Linked DNA regions of Oryza sativa Japonica Group. The protein of the gene in region 3 interacts with the protein of the main gene of each other region in a pairwise test. Links are inferred from orthologs where the notes say so. Each region holds a gene or a part of one and is shown on either strand. Other genes may lie near its edges. The genes, in order: protein ABERRANT PANICLE ORGANIZATION 1, ATP-dependent helicase BRM, probable transcription factor FL and chromatin structure-remodeling complex protein SYD.

Evidence for each region.
Region 1: the proteins of probable transcription factor FL (region 3) and protein ABERRANT PANICLE ORGANIZATION 1 interact in binary tests that used the Arabidopsis thaliana proteins (3 or more experiments, as listed by UniProt). The link is inferred for Oryza sativa Japonica Group from reciprocal best matches to the Arabidopsis thaliana genes LFY and UFO.
Region 2: the proteins of probable transcription factor FL (region 3) and ATP-dependent helicase BRM interact in binary tests that used the Arabidopsis thaliana proteins (3 or more experiments, as listed by UniProt). The link is inferred for Oryza sativa Japonica Group from reciprocal best matches to the Arabidopsis thaliana genes LFY and BRM.
Region 4: the proteins of probable transcription factor FL (region 3) and chromatin structure-remodeling complex protein SYD interact in binary tests that used the Arabidopsis thaliana proteins (3 or more experiments, as listed by UniProt). The link is inferred for Oryza sativa Japonica Group from reciprocal best matches to the Arabidopsis thaliana genes LFY and SYD.

Annotation. Positions count from the first base shown.
Region 1 is NC_089040.1:28,344,250-28,349,164, forward strand, and holds protein ABERRANT PANICLE ORGANIZATION 1, read right to left. Parts: upstream 2,853-4,915; 5' UTR 2,691-2,852; coding exon 1,987-2,690; intron 1,905-1,986; coding exon 1,319-1,904; 3' UTR 1,264-1,318; downstream 1-1,263. UniProt on the Arabidopsis thaliana protein: Component of SCF(ASK-cullin-F-box) E3 ubiquitin ligase complexes, which may mediate the ubiquitination and subsequent proteasomal degradation of target proteins. Considered as a meristem identity factor required for normal growth of the young floral meristem.
Region 2 is NC_089036.1:758,982-764,026, forward strand, and holds part of ATP-dependent helicase BRM, read right to left. Parts: intron 4,925-5,045; coding exon 3,608-4,924; intron 3,311-3,607; coding exon 3,198-3,310; intron 2,994-3,197; coding exon 2,906-2,993; intron 2,788-2,905; coding exon 2,701-2,787; intron 2,565-2,700; coding exon 2,472-2,564; intron 2,361-2,471; coding exon 2,277-2,360; intron 1,962-2,276; coding exon 1,758-1,961; intron 1,571-1,757; coding exon 1,325-1,570; intron 1,232-1,324; coding exon 1-1,231. UniProt on the Arabidopsis thaliana protein: ATPase subunit of a multiprotein complex equivalent of the SWI/SNF complex that acts by remodeling the chromatin by catalyzing an ATP-dependent alteration in the structure of nucleosomal DNA.
Region 3 is NC_089038.1:30,688,955-30,694,565, forward strand, and holds the start of probable transcription factor FL, read right to left. Parts: upstream 3,306-5,611; 5' UTR 3,074-3,305; coding exon 2,668-3,073; intron 2,452-2,667; coding exon 2,042-2,451; intron 487-2,041; coding exon 133-486; 3' UTR 1-132. UniProt on the Arabidopsis thaliana protein: Probable transcription factor that promotes early floral meristem identity in synergy with APETALA1.
Region 4 is NC_089040.1:8,215,001-8,220,045, forward strand, and holds part of chromatin structure-remodeling complex protein SYD, read left to right. Parts: intron 1-419; coding exon 420-1,432; intron 1,433-1,521; coding exon 1,522-1,721; intron 1,722-2,141; coding exon 2,142-2,290; intron 2,291-2,404; coding exon 2,405-2,472; intron 2,473-2,549; coding exon 2,550-3,364; intron 3,365-3,619; coding exon 3,620-3,717; intron 3,718-3,819; coding exon 3,820-4,005; intron 4,006-4,475; coding exon 4,476-4,656; intron 4,657-4,768; coding exon 4,769-4,930; intron 4,931-5,011; coding exon 5,012-5,045. UniProt on the Arabidopsis thaliana protein: Catalytic component of the chromatin structure-remodeling complex (RSC), which is involved in transcription regulation and nucleosome positioning.

The DNA.
Region 1 (4,915 bases), on a different chromosome or scaffold from region 3:
TGGATGGTTATATGTCAAAATGCAATTTGATAGTTAGTGCGATGGAGTATACTCTACAAGCTAGTGAAGTCATACTTTGCAACAGAAAAACAGAAGACGTACAATTTCATGGTTCTGAAACACATATGCTCTTTTATTCAGAGTCTGCTGAAATATACACAAGTTACTTTCATCAGTTTCATGCATGCATGCATGATCACTTCGTAGTGTGTTCCAAATGACTGTAATAATCAGTGCGTAGCATGTTTTGCAGTTTAGTTCCTTTGGGATTTCTACAATCCTATTGAGATCTTTAGAACATACTATATATACTAGCAGTATATTACTTACACATGATTTTTAAAATTAAATGGATGTGATTAGAACCTGGTTGGGGGTGGCTAAAGATCTGAACCACCATATCTCTGGTGCTTGTTACTGCTTCCCCAGAGATGCATGATATACTGAATCAACAACTCGATCGATCGGGAAAACTATGTTTACATATATACAATGTCTATGTTAGGAGTACAATTCTAGCTAGAGTAAGCTTGCAAAAGAAAAAAAAAAGATTGGCCATAAAATTTGATCGACCAAGGGCGCTACATAAACTAAGTTTGGGCATCTTACTTTTTCAGAGTATCTAGCTTTATTTAATAGAGGTCGTACTAATTTCACTCACAAGAAAGATGCAACTACACACATAAGTATGTGTGAATATTAAGCAAATATATGGAAGAAATGCATATCCAAACTGAGAAACTATATACCGATCTGAGGTGGATTCAACAGACAAAGTCATGCTGGCCAGAAGATCATACTCAAATGATCACATACTGTTGTAGGCTTCATGTGATCATGATAAACCATCTAAATCAACACTCTTCAGAAAATCACATGCATGAATATTCTTCAACAGATCTCATGGCAAGATCAAAGTAGTAGTAGTTGTTGAGTAGAAACCCTTCAGTAGGTTTTCTGAATTATTAGTGTTTTCTGAATTAACAGAGATGAAACCACTTCAGAGTTCAGACCACTGTCAATCTAGCACACTACCAACTCAGATGACAAATACAACCTAATTAATTAATTAAGCTACCTAGTACATACTACTAACTTGCACATACTACTAGCTAGAATCATGCTAATTCTCATACCTAACCTATCATATAACACACTTAATTGCTCATAAGAAATTAACATATGATCCCCATTGCTGAAACAACTTTAATACACCACAAACCTAGCTTGCTCATGAACATGTGTATGCATGCCCTAGGCCATAACAAATTGATTAGTTGATGCAGGCAGCATGCACAAAAAAGCACATAGTATGCTCCTAACCATCATGCATGCCATGCAAGGCGACGGGCGCCGTGGCGTCGAGGAGGCCAATGGCCGGCGTCGCCAGCCGGGGCTCGTACGCGAACACCCGGAAACCCGCCGCGCCGGCGCCGCCGTGGTGCGCGACGACGACGTACGGGCACGGCGGCGCCCACCGCCACTCGTCGCGGCGGGAGTCGAACACGAGCGCGCTCGTGGGCGCCTGCGCCACGGGCCCGCGCGGCGCGAGCACGACGTAGTCGCCGTGCGCCGCGCACTCGAACCCGCGCCCGCCCTCCGCCGCGGCGAACTGCGCGTGCACCTCCGGCGGCATCCGCGCCACCTCCGTCCACGCGCCACCGCCGCCGCCGCCGCCGCCGCCGCGCAGCGTCCACAGGCGCACGCTGCGGGGCACGCTGAGACGGCTCTTCTCGACGGCCGACACCAGCGCCACCCTCGCCGCTCCCTCCCTCCCGCCGCCGAGCTCCACCAGCGCCGGCGACCTCAGGAACCGCCTCATCGGCGGCTGCACCTTGCTCCATACGTTCTCCGCCACGTCGAACACCAGAACCGCAAACGGCGACGAGCTCATGCAGTAGAACCTAAGAACAACAACCAAGGCAAGATCAGCAAATCTGTGCAAGAGTATTTACCCATGCGTCATCAATGGCGCGGCGCGCTTACCTGCCGGAGGCGAAGGCCATGCCGGCGCGGGGATCGAGGGAGGAGAGGCGAGGGAGCAGGGAGCTGGGAGCCCAGAAGCCGGAGGGCGGGACGGAGGCGGCGTCGGCGACGAACGTGTCGGCGGAGATGTTCTTGACGGCGAAGGGGGACACGAGGTCGTCCCCGGCCACGACGGCGATGATGGAGGTCGGGCCGGCGGCGAGGCCGACGGTGGGGGAGAGGCGCGGGGTCGGGGAGATGGGGAGCGCGGCGAGGAGGCGGGTGATCGGGTTGGCGAGCAGCAGCGTCTTGTGCCCCGACGCGTCGGACAGGAACGCGAGCAGGCCGGCGGACGCGGCCGCGGGCGAGAACGCGGCGGGGCCGCCGGCGACGGGCGGGAGCGGGAGCGGGAGGCGGGACCAGGAGGCGGTGGCGGTGGGGTCGAGGAGGAGGAGGTGGCCGGCGGCGGGGACGACGAAGGCGAAGAAGGGGAGGTGAGGGGAGAGGAGGAGGTGGGAGTGGAGGAACGGGGAGGAGAAGAGGAGGTGGTAGAAGCGGCGGCAGGCGGCGCGGAGGCGGAGGAACGACGGCGTCGGGAGGCACGCCAGGATGCGGTCCACCAGCGGCTGCGGCAGCCGGCGCCACACGCGCGGGTCCATGTCGTCCGCTGCCGAGGCGGACGACGTCGACGACGGCAGAGGCGGCAGCCGGCGAGGGTTCATCATGGTCGTCGTCGTCGGCGCGCGGCGTCGTCAGCTGCAGCTGCGTGAGCTGAAAATTTTCAAGGGTGAAGTGGAGTGGAGTGAGGCAGCTGTGAAGCGGCAGCTGCGATCAAATGATAGTGAAACTGTGGTACTAGCTTGTACTCGAGATGCCAAGGGATTAATTCATGTGAGGCTAGCCATGCCAAAGCTAAAGGTATGCATATATGAGAATTCATGATTAAATTTGAGAATCGCAATCTAAGCAAAGCAACAGTTATATAAATGGATGATGGATATCGATGGACTGTGTGTTCTTGCGTAATTAAATTTGAGAGGGGAAAGGATTGGATATGGAGTAGAGTAGCAGTTGTTGACATGTTGTTGTTGTTGTCTGGGTAGCGCAACGCCGGTTTTGGTTTGTCTCAGCTCTGATCTGTTATTCTATGCATTTTTATTTTTATTTTTTGCACACGGCAGTGGTTGATTTTAAACAATTTGTTGGACAGTGTTCATCATTTCCTCAAAAAATATCTTCGGATTTTTCTTTAAAATTCCTTTGAAAGTGTTGGACATTGTTCCAAAGGAGCCCACAAAGGAATTTTGAAGGATTTTTTCCTATATATATCTAGTGTGTTTTGGAACAAAGGATATGAACATGACAATTTTCTATGGACTGTTATCATATGCATCACTTCCATTGGAAATTTTTTTTACTATATATGAGCTCAAATCTTATTTTAGTGCTCCTTTGGGACAGGTTTGTAAGAAATTTGAAGGAACTCAATCCTAAGGAAAATTTTTATACATGGTCCTATGAATCAAAGGAAATTTCCATCCGAAAATCCTACCAAATTCCTTGGATTGGTTCAAAGTATAGGAATTTTGACATGAGGTACAACCTATTGGAAAAATATCATTTGTGTCTTTCACTCTTATGAACTGATTCCTGTGTGTTTCCTGCGCTCCATCTAAACGGATTCATGCAGTTTTCCTGCATAGGATTTGAAGTGGTAGGGGTACTCCAAACCTGTATTTTTTTTTCTATTTCTGTGTTTTTATGATCATTCATGCGTTTTTATGATCCTGTGTTTGGTGAGGCCAACGCATCTTCTCTCTGCCCCCCCCCCTCCCCTCCATTAAAGGCTCTTTTGAAACAAAGGGTTTTTAAAGGAAAGTTGTAGGATTGAAATACTATTGAAAATTTTCCTAGCTAGGGAGACATATGGTTTGAATGATTTGGTTAGAAAATTTTCATAGGATTCCTTTCAAGAAAATTTTCATAGGAATCCTTTCTTTCCTCCACTTTTTGAAGGATTTCAAACATAAGCTCAAACCTCATGGTTTTGATTTCCTTTCAGAAGCTCAATGCATATCCCTAAGTTTTTTCAACATTTGTGTTTCAAAAGAACACTAAATCCCTAGTATATCCAGTACAACTTCATGTATTTTGAAATTCTGCGTGATTTGTCCATACATAAAAGGCCCCTTTGAATCGCAGGGTTAAGAAAAACGGAGGAATAGGAAAAACACATGATTCTAACAGGAATGCAAATGTAAAATAGTGGATTGCAAAACACAAGAAAAACATAAAAATAATTGTTTGATTAGACCACAAGAAAAATCAGGAATTATATTAGATGAGAGAGATAAACTCAAAGGAAATTTTTCAAGAAGTTGAAGCTCTTGCTATGTTTTCTCCTAAATCTACATGCAATGAGCCATTCCATAGGAATTTCATAGGATCTGAAAAGCTTTAATTCTTTGTATCAAAGGGCCAAATAGAAAAAAATCATATAGGATTTAAATCCTATGAAATTTCTATATAAATCAAATAAGAAGCCTAAATGCTCTATTTTTTTTCTATTCTTAATTACGTTCTTCGAATGATGCGTTCCAACATGAATTTTTTTATTTTTTAGACCTTTTATTTTTAAATTTTATTAATATATATTTCCAAAAAAATATTTTCAAAAACTGAACCTTTTGGCCATGCCAGCGTTGTTTGGCCAGGCTAGCCATAGTGGCGTAGCAAGGGGCTAGCGTGGCAAGCCAGCACTGCAAGGCGTGGACAAAAGATTTAGATTTGAAAAATATTTTTTTGAGAGGTTTATTAATAAAATTTAAAAGTAAAAAATTCTAAAAAAATATAAAAAAATTCTTCCAACGGAGCCCTTACCTGTAGTCGGCTGTAGCGTTATCTCACAACTACTAATATACGCGAGTACGTCTGCAATGGATATTGCTAT
Region 2 (5,045 bases), on a different chromosome or scaffold from region 3:
AATCATCATCAGATTCCTCAAAATCGTCATCATCAATCTCCCTGTAGATGGAGTACTTCCCAGACCCCTTAGGTCGCCCCCTTCGTTTCTCAAGTTTTTCATTAGTGTCAAGAGAAATTCCCCCAGCCGCCATATTTCTCAAGGGCTTTTTGGATAAACTCGCAACAACAGCATCAAGCTCCGTGGAGCTAACACGGAGCCACTTGGGAGCTTGATTGTGTTTCATCATATCTCCTGTCCAATCAAATTCTTCATCCATCTGATCAAATAGCTCAACTTCTTCTTCAGTCCGAGCAATCATGCGGTTAACTTGCTGTAGTGAAGGAACGTCATGAACAGTTTCTTGATATCTCTCTTCATCATGCAGGAGTGTTTCCAAAGTCATCCGCCTTTCCTCATGGGTTGTTCTTTGATCAAATCGACCAGCATTAATGACTTCATCTGCCATGTCAATTTTGTACTGTTGGATATTATTGCGGATGAGACTTTCTATTGAACCCATGTACCTGTCCTTTCCCGCAAGATCATCCTCCAGATCTCCACTTCCCCCATTCCTCAACTCATCCTCTTTCTGATAACTTGAGATGTTATCAACAACAGCCTCCATGTAAATAACTTTTACATCCCTAGTCTGCCCTATACGATGGGCCCTAGCAACTGCTTGCTCTTCATTTTGTGGATTCGGATCAGGGTCATAAATTACAACAGTGTCTGCACTCTGAAGATTCAGACCCCTGCCAGCAGCCCGAATACTAAGCAAGAATATAAAACAATCAGAATTAGGCCTGTTGAAGTCAACAATTGCTGATTCACGATCTTCCAAGCTAGTTGTTCCATCAATTCTTCTGTAAACAAGTTGCCTCCATTGCAAATATTCTTCCAGGATGTCAAGAAGTTTTGTCATAGTGCTGAAAAGGAGTACACGGTGACCTGACCTATGAAGCTTAATTAAAATCCTATCAAGATTCCACAACTTCCCACAAGATCTGATTATAAAATCTTTTCCATAGTAATTCATAAAAGGATATGACAGCAATGGATGGTTGCAAACTTTCCTCAGCTCCATGCATTTGTTATTGAGATTCTTATATGTCTTAGCCTGGTACATTGCATTCCTCTGAATACGTGCTTTCTCATCTTCAGGATCAACCCTGATGGTGCCAGTGGATTTTATCCAATCATATATAGCACCTTGAATACCAGACATTCTGCACCTCAAAACAATTGACTCCTGCAAATGACATGACGAGTTAACAATGTAGCAAACAAAAAGAGCTGAGTGACAAATAGCATCACTGAGTGTGACAAGGGCAGAACAATCGACCTTTCTTGGAAGTGAGCCTTCAACATCTTCAACACGCCTTCGTAGCATAAAAGGTTCCAAAATTTGATGCAGCCTATGAATAATAATTACTTTTTTCTCAGTTTCCAGCCAATCATCTTCTTCTTCACTATGTGTAGGAACATCTCTCTGAAAAGGTTTTGAGAACCAATCTTGAAATGCCTTACGGTTGTCAAATACTTCTGGTAGCAACAAATTTAGGAGGGACCAAAGCTCCTTAAGATCATTCTGAAAGAATTGAATAAAAAGCATTAAATAATAGCCCTAAAGTGTTATAGAAATAAAACAACATTTGCTGATGTGGTCCTAACAATATTGGCAGACCAGAGAAAAGGAACTTCCGTGACACAGGAAAAGAAAAGGGGATTGTGTTACAATGTAGAACGATTGTGTTACATTTATTATTAATGCTTACCTGTAGAGGAGTGCCAGTGAGAAGCAAACGCCGTTGGCAACGATAACGATCAAGATCTCGCGCCAAGACTGACTCTCTGTCCTTCATCCGTTGGGCCTCATCAATAATAATGTACTTCCAATCAATTCTTGAAAGCTTGGAACGGTCATACATAACAAATTCATATGTTGTTACAAGAACATTGAATTTCACAGCCAGAACCTCCTGCAAGATTAATCAAAAAGAATATTGAAGCAAAATCCGTGAGCAGGTGGTTCCAAATCAGATAATGCATTAGTAAGCGGGTGATTCCGAAGTCAGAGAATACATGATTTACGAGTGTTATCCTTCCAGAATATGGATCAAACAATATAACTAGGACCACCAAGTATTTAAGAAACATTTGTGATAACAATACTGTTAATCAAACAGTGATCTAGGAGGGAAAGGTATTGTGAATCTTTTCAATTCTATAAATGCTAAGCAGTATTATAAGTCCAGATATAGCATAAAATAGGCTATAAAACGGAAGAAACTTGCCTGAGAGAATAATTTTTGACGTTGATCCTTTGCACCAACATAAAAGATGCAAGATGCAGATGGCAACCAGTTCAGCAATTCACTCTAAATCAATAATAGAAATCCAAGTAAAAAATTATGTTTCAAAATAAATATCCCCATCATAAAATAGATACAAACAGTATTTCCTCAGAGTAAAGGACAGGAAAATAGAACCTTCCAGTTGACCAAGACAGCATTCGGTACAATTATGAGATGTGGTCCATAATTCCCTTTAAATTCCATCAAGTATGCAATCAGAGACATAACCTATTTATTCAATTGGTGGCCACAAAAAGATGTTACTAGCAGGGCAAAAGGAAATGGGGAGGCAAATGAGATAATAAAAGAAAATATTGTGAAATAGCAAAAGTCTAGCAGGTAGAACGGAATAAGAAATCCACACCTGTACGGTCTTGCCAAGACCCATCTCATCAGCCAAAATACCATTCAACTTATTATTGTACAAGGAAAGCATCCATTGAAGGCCCACCTGTGGATAGGCAACAAATCAAATTGTAGATTTTTTTTGGTGGTTGGAAATAGACTTGAAATGTTTTAAATATATATTATATCATATAAGAAAATTAAGTTGAAGGTAAATGGCCTACCAGCTGGTAGTCCCTTAACGTTCCTGCTCGCAGCAGTGAGGGCTGCCTTGTAACTCTCTCATTCACAGCATGAGCCAATGTGTAGTACCTAAAATAATACGGCAAGTGTAAGCTTATTTATGCTGAAAACTAGTGTGCACTAAATGCCCATATTGATCTACAGTTAGCAGCTCCAAATTAGAGAGTGAAGCAAATTTACTCACAGGAGTCAAAAGCACATATAAACTTTACTTGTAGTGAATCAGAAACATAAATTGTCAAAATGAATATTGAAAATAAGATAATTACTTACTTATTAACAGATGTGTTTTCCCTGGGCGCATTCATTTCAGAGAATGTGTTCCTTATCATAACCTCCTGACCAGCACATTGTGCAGCAGCCTTCACTTCTTCTTCAGAAAGACCCTATTAAACAAGTGGTATGCTCAATTATCTACAGGACTATGAAACTTGGGGAATGAATGCATCAGTGCAGCTAAAAGTTATGGACCAGTAGTGTATAAGTGCAATGATGAATGAGGGTACAGATAAACACAAGGCAAGAAGTGTATTGGCCAGTGTACTGTCTGTACCCCCAACCTCGAAATTAAAAAGTTTGTGCTAACATTTATCGTTTGCGTCACAACCCATAAATAAGAAACAAAAGAGGGATGGGGAAAAGGCCGTTATCATTTTCCAGAGCAAAGAATGTCATACTCATACCTGTGCTCGGGCAGCAGCAGCAGCAGCATTTGCCGCCTCTTCAACTTGCTGATGATTCTTGGCAGCAGTTATTTTCCCTCCAAGTTTATAGAGATACTCCTCAGTCTGGGTCAAGAAAGAAGATAGAACATTGTATCTTTGAGCTGCATCGCCAGGAACACTGGTTTGTTGTTCCAATAATATTTGACGATATCTTTCCACGTCATTGTTTTTCAGTGCCTCCATTCTTTTGTTTCGATCATCATCCTTTTTCTTTGAGAATTCCCTCAGCATCCTTTCATGGTACTTGGCTACCCCTCGGTTACGAGTAATCCGTGCATCACGAATGGCCCAGTGTGCCTCCAAAAGCTTCTTGCGCCACTGGAAAATGGATTTGAGCTGCTTTTCTCTTGAGGCTTTCTGCATCTGCTGAACTTGCCTTGTAAGCTCAACACGCTGGCGTTCACATTGTCTGACAAACTTTCTGTACACCCTATCAGGCATTGCCATTATTTCTTGTTGCTCCTGTTCAACTTCATCCCTCATACGAGCCTGAAATTCAAGGAGTTTCAGCTTCTTTTCTTCAATCTGCAGCCTTAAAACAAGATCTGGTTGGATCCTTTTCCTCTCTAGATTAATTGCAAGCAAGCCACTGATCTTTTTTAAATTATCCTCCCGTTTCTTGCCAAGAACTATCATGCCTTCCTGAGCTAACAAATCCTTCACGTCATAACCGAGTGCTAGATTACTGTTGTAATTTGCAGACACCATGGAATCATGTTTCCTGGTAAAGGATGGAAAGTCAAATAGTGGCCCATGGTATTTTCTTGAAACATCTCTGTTGGGAGTAGGCACGCTACTTGATGAGGCAGCTCTTTTTGCCTGCTCAGCGTCTGCTGAACCACTTTCTGCTGGCAAAGATTTCCCCCTTTCACCATTGTAATCACTTCTCCCAGGTGTTCTCTGGATACCCCTTTCTGGATCCTGCTCAGATTTAATCAGGGTGGTGTTGGTTTGTTCAGGCATTGAAACTGGTCCAATTCTAAGAGGTTCCTTGGGTGAAGCTTTCATCACTTGCATGGGACCACTAGCAGGAATAGTTTTGTCTTCTGGAGCAGAAACCTCCACCTTTGGTAAACAGGGCGCCTTCAACAGGGAAGATCTTTCAGGAGCTATACCACCACTCTCCACAGGTCTTCCATGTTCATCAGCGCTGCTTGTAGCAGATCTTTCACGGTTTGTTACTGGAGGTCCAGAAACCTGCTGCGCTTGTGAATCAGGTGGTGGTCCAGACATGATTAAATCAAGAACTTCTGGTGGTAGCTTCTTATCACCACGCTGAGATCAACCAATGAAAAACAGAAGGAGATTTACAGTATTGGGATTAGTCAGCTTGAATCATAACTTAAAATTGTGGACTGGAACTCATTTAAAAAAAAAAAGCAAAGACACGACCAAA
Region 3 (5,611 bases):
ACGCATCCTCGATCGGCCCATCGAATAGCTTAGAACGACCTAACTGCCTTACAACGAAAACACGGCCCAACACCACAGGAAACTCCCACGCGCCGTGGCGGCGCGGGAACAGCAGCAGAGTCTCCGGCGAGCTTAGAACAAGGGCGGCGGGAGCGCGGCGGCGGCGGCGGCGTGGCTGCTCCGCGCCTGGTGGCAGAGCTGGCGGAGTCTGGTGGGCACGTACCAGATGGCGAGGCGCGGGTGCGCGGCGAAGACGGCGTCGATGTCGAATCCGTGGCGCGCGGAGATGTCGACGAGCGGCGCGTAGCAGGCCTGCCTCCACGCCCCCACGTTCTCGCCGCGGGCCTTGTAGGCGCGCCGCAGCGCGTCCGACGCCTCCTCGTCCAGGCAGTGCAGCGCGTAGCAGTGCACGTAGTGCCGCATCTTGGGCTTGTTGATGTAGCTCGCCCCGACCTTCTTCGCGTACCGGAACACCTGGTTCGTCACCTGCATCCACCCATACATGCATGATGCATGAAGGCCATTTCATTGCGTTTCACCACCGAGACGTTCGCGTGTGCGTGCAGCTAGCTCGTGCACATGACTCATGCGTCGCACAGTGAGATCACGGATCTGATCGGCTGCTTGGGGGCGCAGGAGCGCATCGATGCAGCAGCCGGTCCGTCCGGGCTGTGAGTGGACGGGATGCAAAGCCATCCAATCACCCTGGAACCCCGACCAGGCCGTGCGTGCATTCATTTCATTGCACCGTCTCCGAGCTGAGCGCCCTGATCCACGGCGGCAGGTGAGCTCACATGGCCGTACGTGCGAGGGATTGCCGCCACGGAATCCGAGGAAGTGGCCGTCCTCCTCCCCCTACCTCCATATGGCTCCATGGCTGTGGGGTGTGGCTCCATTGCCATGCATGCCTACGCTGATGGCTAGGGCCCGACAAGACAACACATGGAACGCAGGCTTTGCCAGCCTACCTGCAACTGACACGTCGGCACTCTTTTTCAGGTTGGTACTTGGTACTACTGCGCATCGGCGTACGCGCTCGTGTCCAGCTCTTCCTGAATTCTTCTACTACCCGCGTACGTGAAGCATCCACTACGTAATCACTGTTTGCTTGTAACAAAGCGAACGGACGGCTATGCATGGGACTAATGAAACAGGGAGAGCACGAGTGCATGGCAGAAATACCGGTATGACAGAAACAGGGAGCATCCTGTTACCATGTGATGTGTGTTCCTCGTCTGTGAGCATGAATTGGTAGAATAGATTAACACCCTAGCAAGTCTTACAGAAGGAAAGTGAGCATTCCTGCTGTTTTACGAATGTTTTTCAAAAGGTTTTGCCCGTTGTACAGTTGATTTTCTAGAAATTTTAAACACTGTCGCCCTTTTAAGTCAAAGAGCCAATGCTAAAAGTTTTGAATAGGCGGAAAACTTAAGCATTGAAAATACTCAAGTTATTTACTAGATGCTTTAGTAATCAACTGTTTGTTACCATGCAATGATAATGAATCTTTCGCACCTTTTTAACTCAAGACTGGCCAACAGAATACTCCTACTCCATATCTGACGGCAGCACGATGTATTTGCTCCTACTAGTAGTACTTATAGGAGTAACTGTGAATGAGTAATAAACAATAAACAAGTCGAGCCGTTGGGATGACAGTAGTCTTAGGGTGTGTTTGAGGAGAAGGGGATTGGGGAGATTGGGGAGATTGGGAAGATACGCAAAACGAGGTGAGCCATTAGCACATGATTAATTGAGTATTAACTATTTTAAACTTCAAAAATGGATTAATATGATTTTTTAAAGCAACTTTCCTATAGAAATTTTTTGTAAAAAACGCACCGTTTAGCAGTTTGGGAAGCGTGCGCACGGAAAACGAGATGCTTTTGTCTCTCAATCCCCCAGATTGCCCAGGAACGAACGTTCCCTTATTCAGATCGTCTTACGTCTGCATGCTTATGCAAGAACGCGAGCATAGTAGGGTAGGAGTACGTAAGATATAGAGTACGTAAGATACGTAATGCTCGTAAATCACGCGTACCTTGGTTGGGGACTTGTGTCCATGCAGCTTAGCCATGGATTGCACCTGCAGCAGGAAGAGGCGGCACTGCTCGTACAGATGGAACAGGTAGTCCAGCCCGTTCTTCTTGGCCCTCGCCACCTCGCCGGGCTCCGTCACCACGAAAGGATGCTCCCTCTGCCGCTCCCCGCCGCCGCCGCCGGCCGACGACTCCGTCGACTCCGACCCGCCGCCGCCGTCCTCGTCGCAGCAGTCCATCTCGTCCTCCTGCATGTCCAGCCTTAGGTCGTCCACCTTCTTCCTCCTCGCCTTCTTGCCCTTCCTCGCCGCGGATCCCTTCTTCGCCTGCTTCTTGCCGGTCACCATCCTCCTGCCGTTGTCGTCGTCGCCCATGCCGCCGCTCCCCGCCATGTCATGCTCGTCGGACAACACTGTTCGCGTGCATGCATGCATCACAGCATCGTGTACAGAACAAGCACAGGAACATGGTTAAGAATTTAACCGATCAGCTTTTGCATGCATGCATGATGACATCGTCGCAATTCACACGCAAGAACACACAGTACGCACTTAATACGCACGAGCGTGTTCGGTAATCACATGAAACAAGAGGAGAAAGATAGTGGTATGATCGATGCGTAAGATACCTTCCTGGGAGGCGCCGTCCACGGTGCTCCCGGACTGGTGCCCATGGTGGCGGCCGCCGAGCGACATCAGGCGGCCGCGCTCGGCTCGCAGCGCGGCGCGGAGGCCGAACCGCTCGCCGAGGAGCAGGTCCCAGCGGAACAGCCCGGCGAGCGCGGCCATCATGTCGTCGAGCTCGCGCTCCGTCATGGCCAGGAGCGTGCTCGCCGTGAACCCGAGCTCCGAGATCCGCGCCACCGTCGACATCCGCACGCCGTACCCTGCCACCAGCTCCTCCAGCTCCCTGGGCACGTTAGCCGGCGGCGGCGGCGGCGGTGGTGGCGGCGGTGGTGGCACGGGCGCCGGCGCCGGCGGGCCGAGGTCCCACCGGAACGGGTGCGCGGCCGAGAAGGCATCGTTGGGATCCATGCGAGGATGGCTACTAGCTTGCTGTCCTTGCGGTCGGCCGGGCTCGGTTTCTCCGGTTGTTTCTTGTGTTTCGCCCACACACCTCTGTGCGTCGCGTTGGGCTCGTTATATAGCGGCCACTGTAGTGTTGGGCTATAGTTGCTGCACGCGGTTGACTTGACAAATCTCCATAGCTCGTTGCATTGGTCCGGATCGATGTATCTGCATTCACGCTAGCTTTTGGTTTTTGTCCAATACTTGGAGGAAGGGAGCGAGCTACCGATCGATACTACGTGAAAACGACCTGTCCTGTAGAAAGCTGCATGCGTCGCTAGAGCACACACGATTTGATAGTCTAGATTCTAGTAAGCCCTATTACGTGCCGGTACATAAAAAGTAGGCACAGTAAGCCTTATAGGAGTAATACACCCACACATTGTGTTGTCCTGTCACGGCGTACGTGCATTTGTAATGTGGCGCACGTCTCAAGTGTCCTTCGATCTTTTCGTCCCGTCTCTCCTTGGAGGTAGCAACGGCGTCACTGTTCCTCTTCCGAAGAAAAAAGATACTCCTGCATGCGTACTGTTGTTGCGTACACGGTGAACACGGGTGAGGCCGTAGCCTTGTGCCCTTAATTATCGTACGTGGCGGTTGTCCATGTAATCGTGTGAGCGGTGGGGGCAGAAGATTAGCGTGTCATTCTGCAGATTTTCCCCACGCTAGGGCAACTCAAAAATGTTTTTGATTCCGAGGGCGAAAATATACTTTTTAAGAATTATTTTACCATTCTGGATAATTAATGTATCGAGAGACACCGTATTTTTTTAATATAAAACTTAATACTTTTAGATACTGTGTATTTTGAGATAAACAAAAGAGTAAATTGCATCAGCGGTACACGAACTTGTCAGGTTGGTGCAATCTAGTACATGAACTTCTAAAACGCTCGTTTCTGTGCACGAGCTTGTTTGATGCGTGCGAATAATGTCAAAATCGCACTGCAAGGTTAATCTTGTTGATTCTGTGGTTGATTTAAACTCTATGTAAACATTAGTCTAAGAAGGATAAACATATAATAAGGCATAATGATTGTATAAAAAAATAAAAATTTGAGTAATGATGCAAGGGACAGAAACAAAGAAAGATAAAGTGGAATCTAAGAAAAATCGGTCTTGTCGCACCATTTTAGTCTTAGTTTGCACATACCAGACAAATTCATGCACCAAAACGAGACGAGCATTTTATAAGTTCATACACTAAATTGCACGCACCTGACAAATTTATGTACCGCTAATATAATTTACTCTAAAAAATGTAGTGTAAAATTTCTCTTCTTTTAAAGTCTCACTATGGTGCATTCATTGGTCTTATTTGATTGGAGGATTTAGATCTTTTTTACAATTATTTCAATTAACGGTAGTAGAAATATGGAGTGATATTTATTGTAAAAAAGAATAATGTGCATGGTGTATAATTGTCATTTAGCAATGATTAAATATTTGTTTCTCTTTCTGGATTTTTTATGGAATATCATCGATGCCGGTGCAACGGATGACCACAGATCAATCTAGCCGGGGAAAAACATAAATGACAAAGTTACTCCTAATCACCATATTAATGACGGGGGATTTCTTGGTTTTACTCCCTCCATCCAAAAAGTCCAAGACCTATTTTCTTTTTGACCAAGGCCAGTGAGTAATTAATTAATTCATTATGTGACAAAATCAATGAACATGTAACCAATAAGTACTGAAGTATAATGATTTCTTAGGCTCCGCTCAAAAATTTAATATAACACATAGTAATGACTATATGGATAGGACTTAAACTTTTAGAAAACCAAAAAATAAAATATATCTTAAAACTTTTGGATGGAGGGAGTAGTCAGTTACCGATGTTTCTCCTATTGTGTCAAAGGTTGGTTTGCTTAGTCATTAATTAGCTCGATAGAACACTAGGAATAGTTCACGGTCGAGTCCGAAAGCATTAATTAATGAAATGAGCCTAGTGCATCGAGTGTTTTTTACATTTGAATTTAAAAGCTACCATAGGCAAGGAACTCTACCTATTGGTAGTATATTTTGGGGGTAAACGACATTCAACCACTCTGCCTAACGGTACAACGCTCGTATTGCTCTCTCATAACTTCGTGTTTACGATTTAGACTACTCCAATTTCGCTTGTTGCTTCTATAATTCAATCGAGATTTTCTAGTTAAGAGAGAATTAGTTATCTATTAGCTCAAAGAGACGCTTATCTTTAGCCTCTACCTTATAGTTGACGGTAAAAAGGAGAAATGAAGGTAGCAGGGGACTTTAATATATAGCAAAATTACCACGTTTTTTAATCATGAGACAGTTGTATGAGAGCAAGGATAATAGTACAGCTCACTTCCTACTATTAGCACATTTTAAAGCCAACAGATATAATAGATTAGCTATAAGGTTGGCTATAATTTTCTTCTCTTCTCTGTCTCTCACTTATACATTTAATGTATTTGTCTTGGAGTTTGTAATAATCTAGCTCTTGTATGAGAGCCAACACCCTTGATTTTTCACT
Region 4 (5,045 bases), on a different chromosome or scaffold from region 3:
ACAAATTTGCGGCCAATGTTTCTGGAACGCCTCCTTTAGCAACTTTTGCCTTGGACTGCATTCCTTGGGAATAAATCATGCGTGTAGTGTTTTGAAGCCATTGTGCTTTCTCTTGTCCGCGGAATTGTGAAACACATGATTTTCCAAGTATGGTCATCTTGTATATTTTTTCTTAATGTAGTGTTTGTCAGTTTACACACACTCGTGCGCGCGCACACACAAAAACACAAAAGTTACTCACACTGTGTCTCCTTACTGGTTGGTGTCACGTAATTTATCACAAATGTGATCTACCTTATTTGTTCGAAATACCAAGTGAAAAGGTGCTGTGTCGAAATAAAGTTTTATCTGATTTTTCATAATTTAGACCTTAATTTTTGCCTCCACAATTCCAAACTTCTATTAACATTTGTCAACAGGGCCATGGAGACTGTTGTAAGCCAACATGGAATAGATATGGATGCGTTGCGATCATCGAGAATCCCATTAGCTGGTGGTCCACAAGCAGGAGATTCTAGTGGTGCTATGCCTAAGGATAAGGAGATCATTGGCAGTCAACCTCCCATGGTTGGTACTGATGCATCCCAAAGTAGTGCGCATGCTGGATTATGGAATTTTCCATCAGGTAACCAAGTAAATCAACATGGTAATCTCAGCCACCTGTTTTGGATTTATGAGTTTGACCTGATGATGCATTGTATTATATTGTCAGGTTCAGCAGATATGGCACGTCACAGTGCATCTATTTCAGGCAGGGTCCCAGCAGGACCAAATAGGAGCGATGTTGCAGGAGCTGATATTCATCAAGGCTCCATGTCACAGAAGAGTGGAAGATCCTCTGGAATGGAAAGCCCTGCCAGTCTGCAAATAGAGGATACTAGATCTATGAATTCACATGATTCTTTGAAGTCAGATGAAAAAACAAGCAAAAAATCATCTTCTAAGAGAAAAAGAGTGGATCCAAAAGCAGCAGGGGACTTGCATTCTGAAGACAACTCAAAATCAGATGCCATGTCTACCGGACAAAATATTAGAAAGGGAAAACAGCCTGGCAAAGCTGGTACTCAGGGTCAACTTTCCAGGACAGTCGAACACGATCCATCACATACATTACAAGTTGGTAATGCTCAGGTGCCACCGTTACCCAGTGGTGCACCTTTCTTTAGGGCTCACCAGGAAGGACCATCAGCTTCTTCTGCAAGGACTATAGACAAGACTAAACCATCAAATCCATTCACAATGGCACAAATTTCAAATTTTGCTGAAGGACTAGCTTCTGGCAACATTCCTGCTGAGTTGCAGAAAAGTATATTGGGAGGAGCAAATCTACTTAATGCTAGTTTTGGCTGGAACCAGAATGCACAAGGTCCAGTTATGAAGAATACTCAAGGGTCTGTTCCCAACCTAATGAGACCTGGTGTTAATGTCGAAGGTACTTCAATTAAAAAAGAATTACATAATAGTCTCACTAGAGACATTGAAATTCAAAAATTTACCTTAATGATTGTGCTTATGCTACAGGGAAAGTTAACTTAGGATCACAAGGAACTTTTAATTCTATGTCTGCATCACAAATGGATTACCCCACAGTTCCTCCTTATGTGTCTTCTTCCTTTGGAGGTGGTCCACAGTATCTTGACAAAGGGAAAGACTTGACTTCAGGCAATACTGGCAGTGAACTAAATTCTTCTAAAGCTGGAGCTCAGCTGGGGATCATGCATGTACGACCTTTAGCTTAATTTTAAATATCCTTATGTTAAAAGCTTGTTCTTGCATGCTGTTTTCGAGACACTGTGACTTATATTTGGGGGAGAAATCCTTGTTAGTGAAATGCAAAAATCTTGTTCCTGTGCTCGCTTGTTCTAGATAAATTCCTCTGGGATATTTCCTTCTTTTTTATTTGTAGACATATTGCAACATATTTGGCAAACCATGAAGGGTGTGGTATTCATTTCCGTAAACTTCTTGTTGAACTTTGCACAAAAAGTATTGTTTGCACTTTAGTAAATCTCCTTCTGTAGCCAGTTTTAGAAACACTTTTGTTTGGTCATACAGTCATCTTTTCATTGATATGTGTATCTCCATTGGTTGACTTAATATTTTAGATGCATTTTGACACACAAATGCGGTATAACTTTCAGGGCAGTCCAATGCAAGAAAGGCACGGAATTGTCAGAGCACCTCAGAGAGCTGGTTCATCTCAAATGTCTCAAACCTCTCCCAGCATTCCATTCAAAGAGCAGCAGTTGAAGCAGCTCAGAGCGCAGTGCTTAGTATTTCTTGCATTTAGGTCTGCACACCCTTCCATATCCTAATTTGTGTCTTGTTCTTTGACAGAATACATCTATGCTTAATATTGAAACCTCATCTCTGTAGCACTCATATCGGCTGTACTTCCTTGTAGAAATAATCTGCAGCCCCGGAAGGTACATCTTGAAATTGCTTTAGGTGTTGGTCCCCCTGCTTCAGAAGGTAAAAACTAAGAATAGAGCAATATTGTGTGAGCTGTCTGCTTTGTCAGTCTTGATGAATCTATGCTTGAAAAACAGGTGGCAGTGCAGGTCAGAGAGGTAGTGAGAGCAGAATGGCTGATGGTTCTGGAAAGGAAAATGGAAACAGCCAGGAAAACCCTGCTATTTTTGGTAGGCAAAGTGATATTTCTAGACTTCAATCAACATCTACAGGCAGTGTTGCGGATGTTGATTCCGCATCAAAGGACCCAGAAATTGTTAAAAAGAAGATCAAGATAGCTGAACATGAGAAATCATTTGAAGCAGAAAATATCCAGCAAACCGTTCCTATACAGGGAACTGATTCTGAAATGCATTCTCAAGAAACGATATCTCCCATGCCATCTGGGCAACTGCATTACTTTCAGGGAGATACAAGAAAAACTACCCCTGAGATCTACAAGGCTGATGCAGAAAATTTGAATAGGAACTTAGGCTGGGTAGGAGGCCAGGGACCATCTCCTTTGGGTGGTAATAGGCATACTAGTATGGAAGTTGGCCTCTTGGCCAAAGATGAAGTGTCCAAAGAACCATTTGCAGTTTTGAGGCCTCATCATATGCCTGTTGATGGTAGCAACCACAATTTATCTGGAAAGGATCAAACTCCTGAGACAGCTGGCAATGAAATTGATAATGGTAGCCACATGGGAGAGATGATATTTGAGCGATCTGCAGATGAAGGAGACGAAGATCTTTCTGAGCAAGATGATTTACCATTATCTCCTCCGAAGTACACAATGACTGATAAATGGATTTTGGATCATCAGAAGAGAAGATATGAAGAAAACAAAAGGAAGGCATTAGAGTTACAGAAGGCACACAGGAGAATTTCAGCATCCTATGAGAAGCTAAAGGTCACTCCCTACTTTTCTCACTTTGAAATCCTGGAAATTGAAAAGCACACTTTTGAAATGTCACACGTCTATAAATTATTGTTTATGTTTCATGTATACAAGATTGTTTCCAAAGTACAGTCTTTTCCTCATGTGTTGTGATTTTTTTAATACAATGGACATCTCGATTTGGTGCACATGTGCATGTGTTATGCTACCATATTCAACACACTGTAAGTCTTAGTTGAAAACTTCAATTCCTTCTGTTTTCTTCAGGAAAATGTTAGTTCATCGGAGGATCTTTCTGCAAAAACAAAGAGTGTCATTGAATTGAAAAAGCTTCAACTTCTCCAACTTCAACGTCGTGTGCGCAGGTCTGCCTGTCATGGACACCATGAACTTTTAATTTCTCTTCCTACCAGACTTTATGTTTCTGTGGCTATATTTCCCCTGTTTTGATTTCTTCTATTTGGCAGTGAATTTTTGCAGGACTTTTTCAAGCCTAATACTACTGATTTGGACCGCATAAAATCAGTAAAGAAACATAGACATGGACGTCGTGTTAAACAGCTTGAAAAAATTGAACAGAAAATGAAGGAAGAAAGGCAAAAGAGAATTCGTGAGAGACAGAAGGAATTCTTTGCTGATATAGAGGCCCACAGGTTGGATTGAAATCACGACCCACTCCTTTATCTTTAGTTCTTCTTACTTTTAGCCAATGTTTTAAGTTATCTGTACCTGGTCTTTAAGTATTTTGTAGAATACATGTACTACCTAATAGTTTGGGGGTGTGTCTGTAATGCAGCTGCTTTCTAGGAATAGTACCGTTTTAATTTTCCTGTACAGGTTCTTTAGAGCAATGACTATAGAAGAAATAGTTTTCTAGAAGCTGCGCTCTGAACATTCCAGTTGCATAGCCATTCTAAGATTGCCCTTGCCCTTTATAAATTGAACCTGGCTAAGCTAAAACTGAAAGAAGTTGACCCAGGAGGAGTTGGTGGTTTACTGAAAAGAAACATATTTATACAAAATAGACCAGAATATTTGTTTCAACCAGCAATTACCTTGCAAGTTATGAGCTTAGTATGCTCATAGTTTATGCTTGTTAAATATTTTACCTATTAAACTGCAGAGAGAAACTGGAGGATAGCTTCAAGGTTAAGAGAGAACGCTTGAAGGGTTTCAATCGGTACGTAAAAGAGTTCCACAAGAGGAAAGAGCGAATTCATAGAGAGAAGTTAGACAGGATCCAGCGGGAGAAGATCAACCTGCTTAAGAATAATGATGTTGAAGGATATCTTAGGATGGTTCAGGTGAGTGTTGGTTGCTTTCTTTTGACTTCCTTTTATATTTTTTGGTTAATCCTTCGTATTTCTTAATGTTTGTTGGACTAAGTCAAATTCTAATAAACATTAATATCTCTAGGATGCAAAATCTGATCGTGTTAAGCAACTTCTGCGAGAGACTGAGAAATATCTACAGAAGCTTGGTGCCAAACTACAGGGTTCCAAATCGATGGATGGCCGTGTTTCATATGCTTCTGATAGCACAGCAAATGATATTGAAGATGAGAGCTACCAGCCGCAGGTCTGTTCATTACCTTTTGCTCTTGAGTCTTGATTAGATGCATTTTCCTGAAGAATCACCTAACTGTATTTTCTTCTACAGCATTATCTAGAAAGCAATGAAAAATACTATCAAT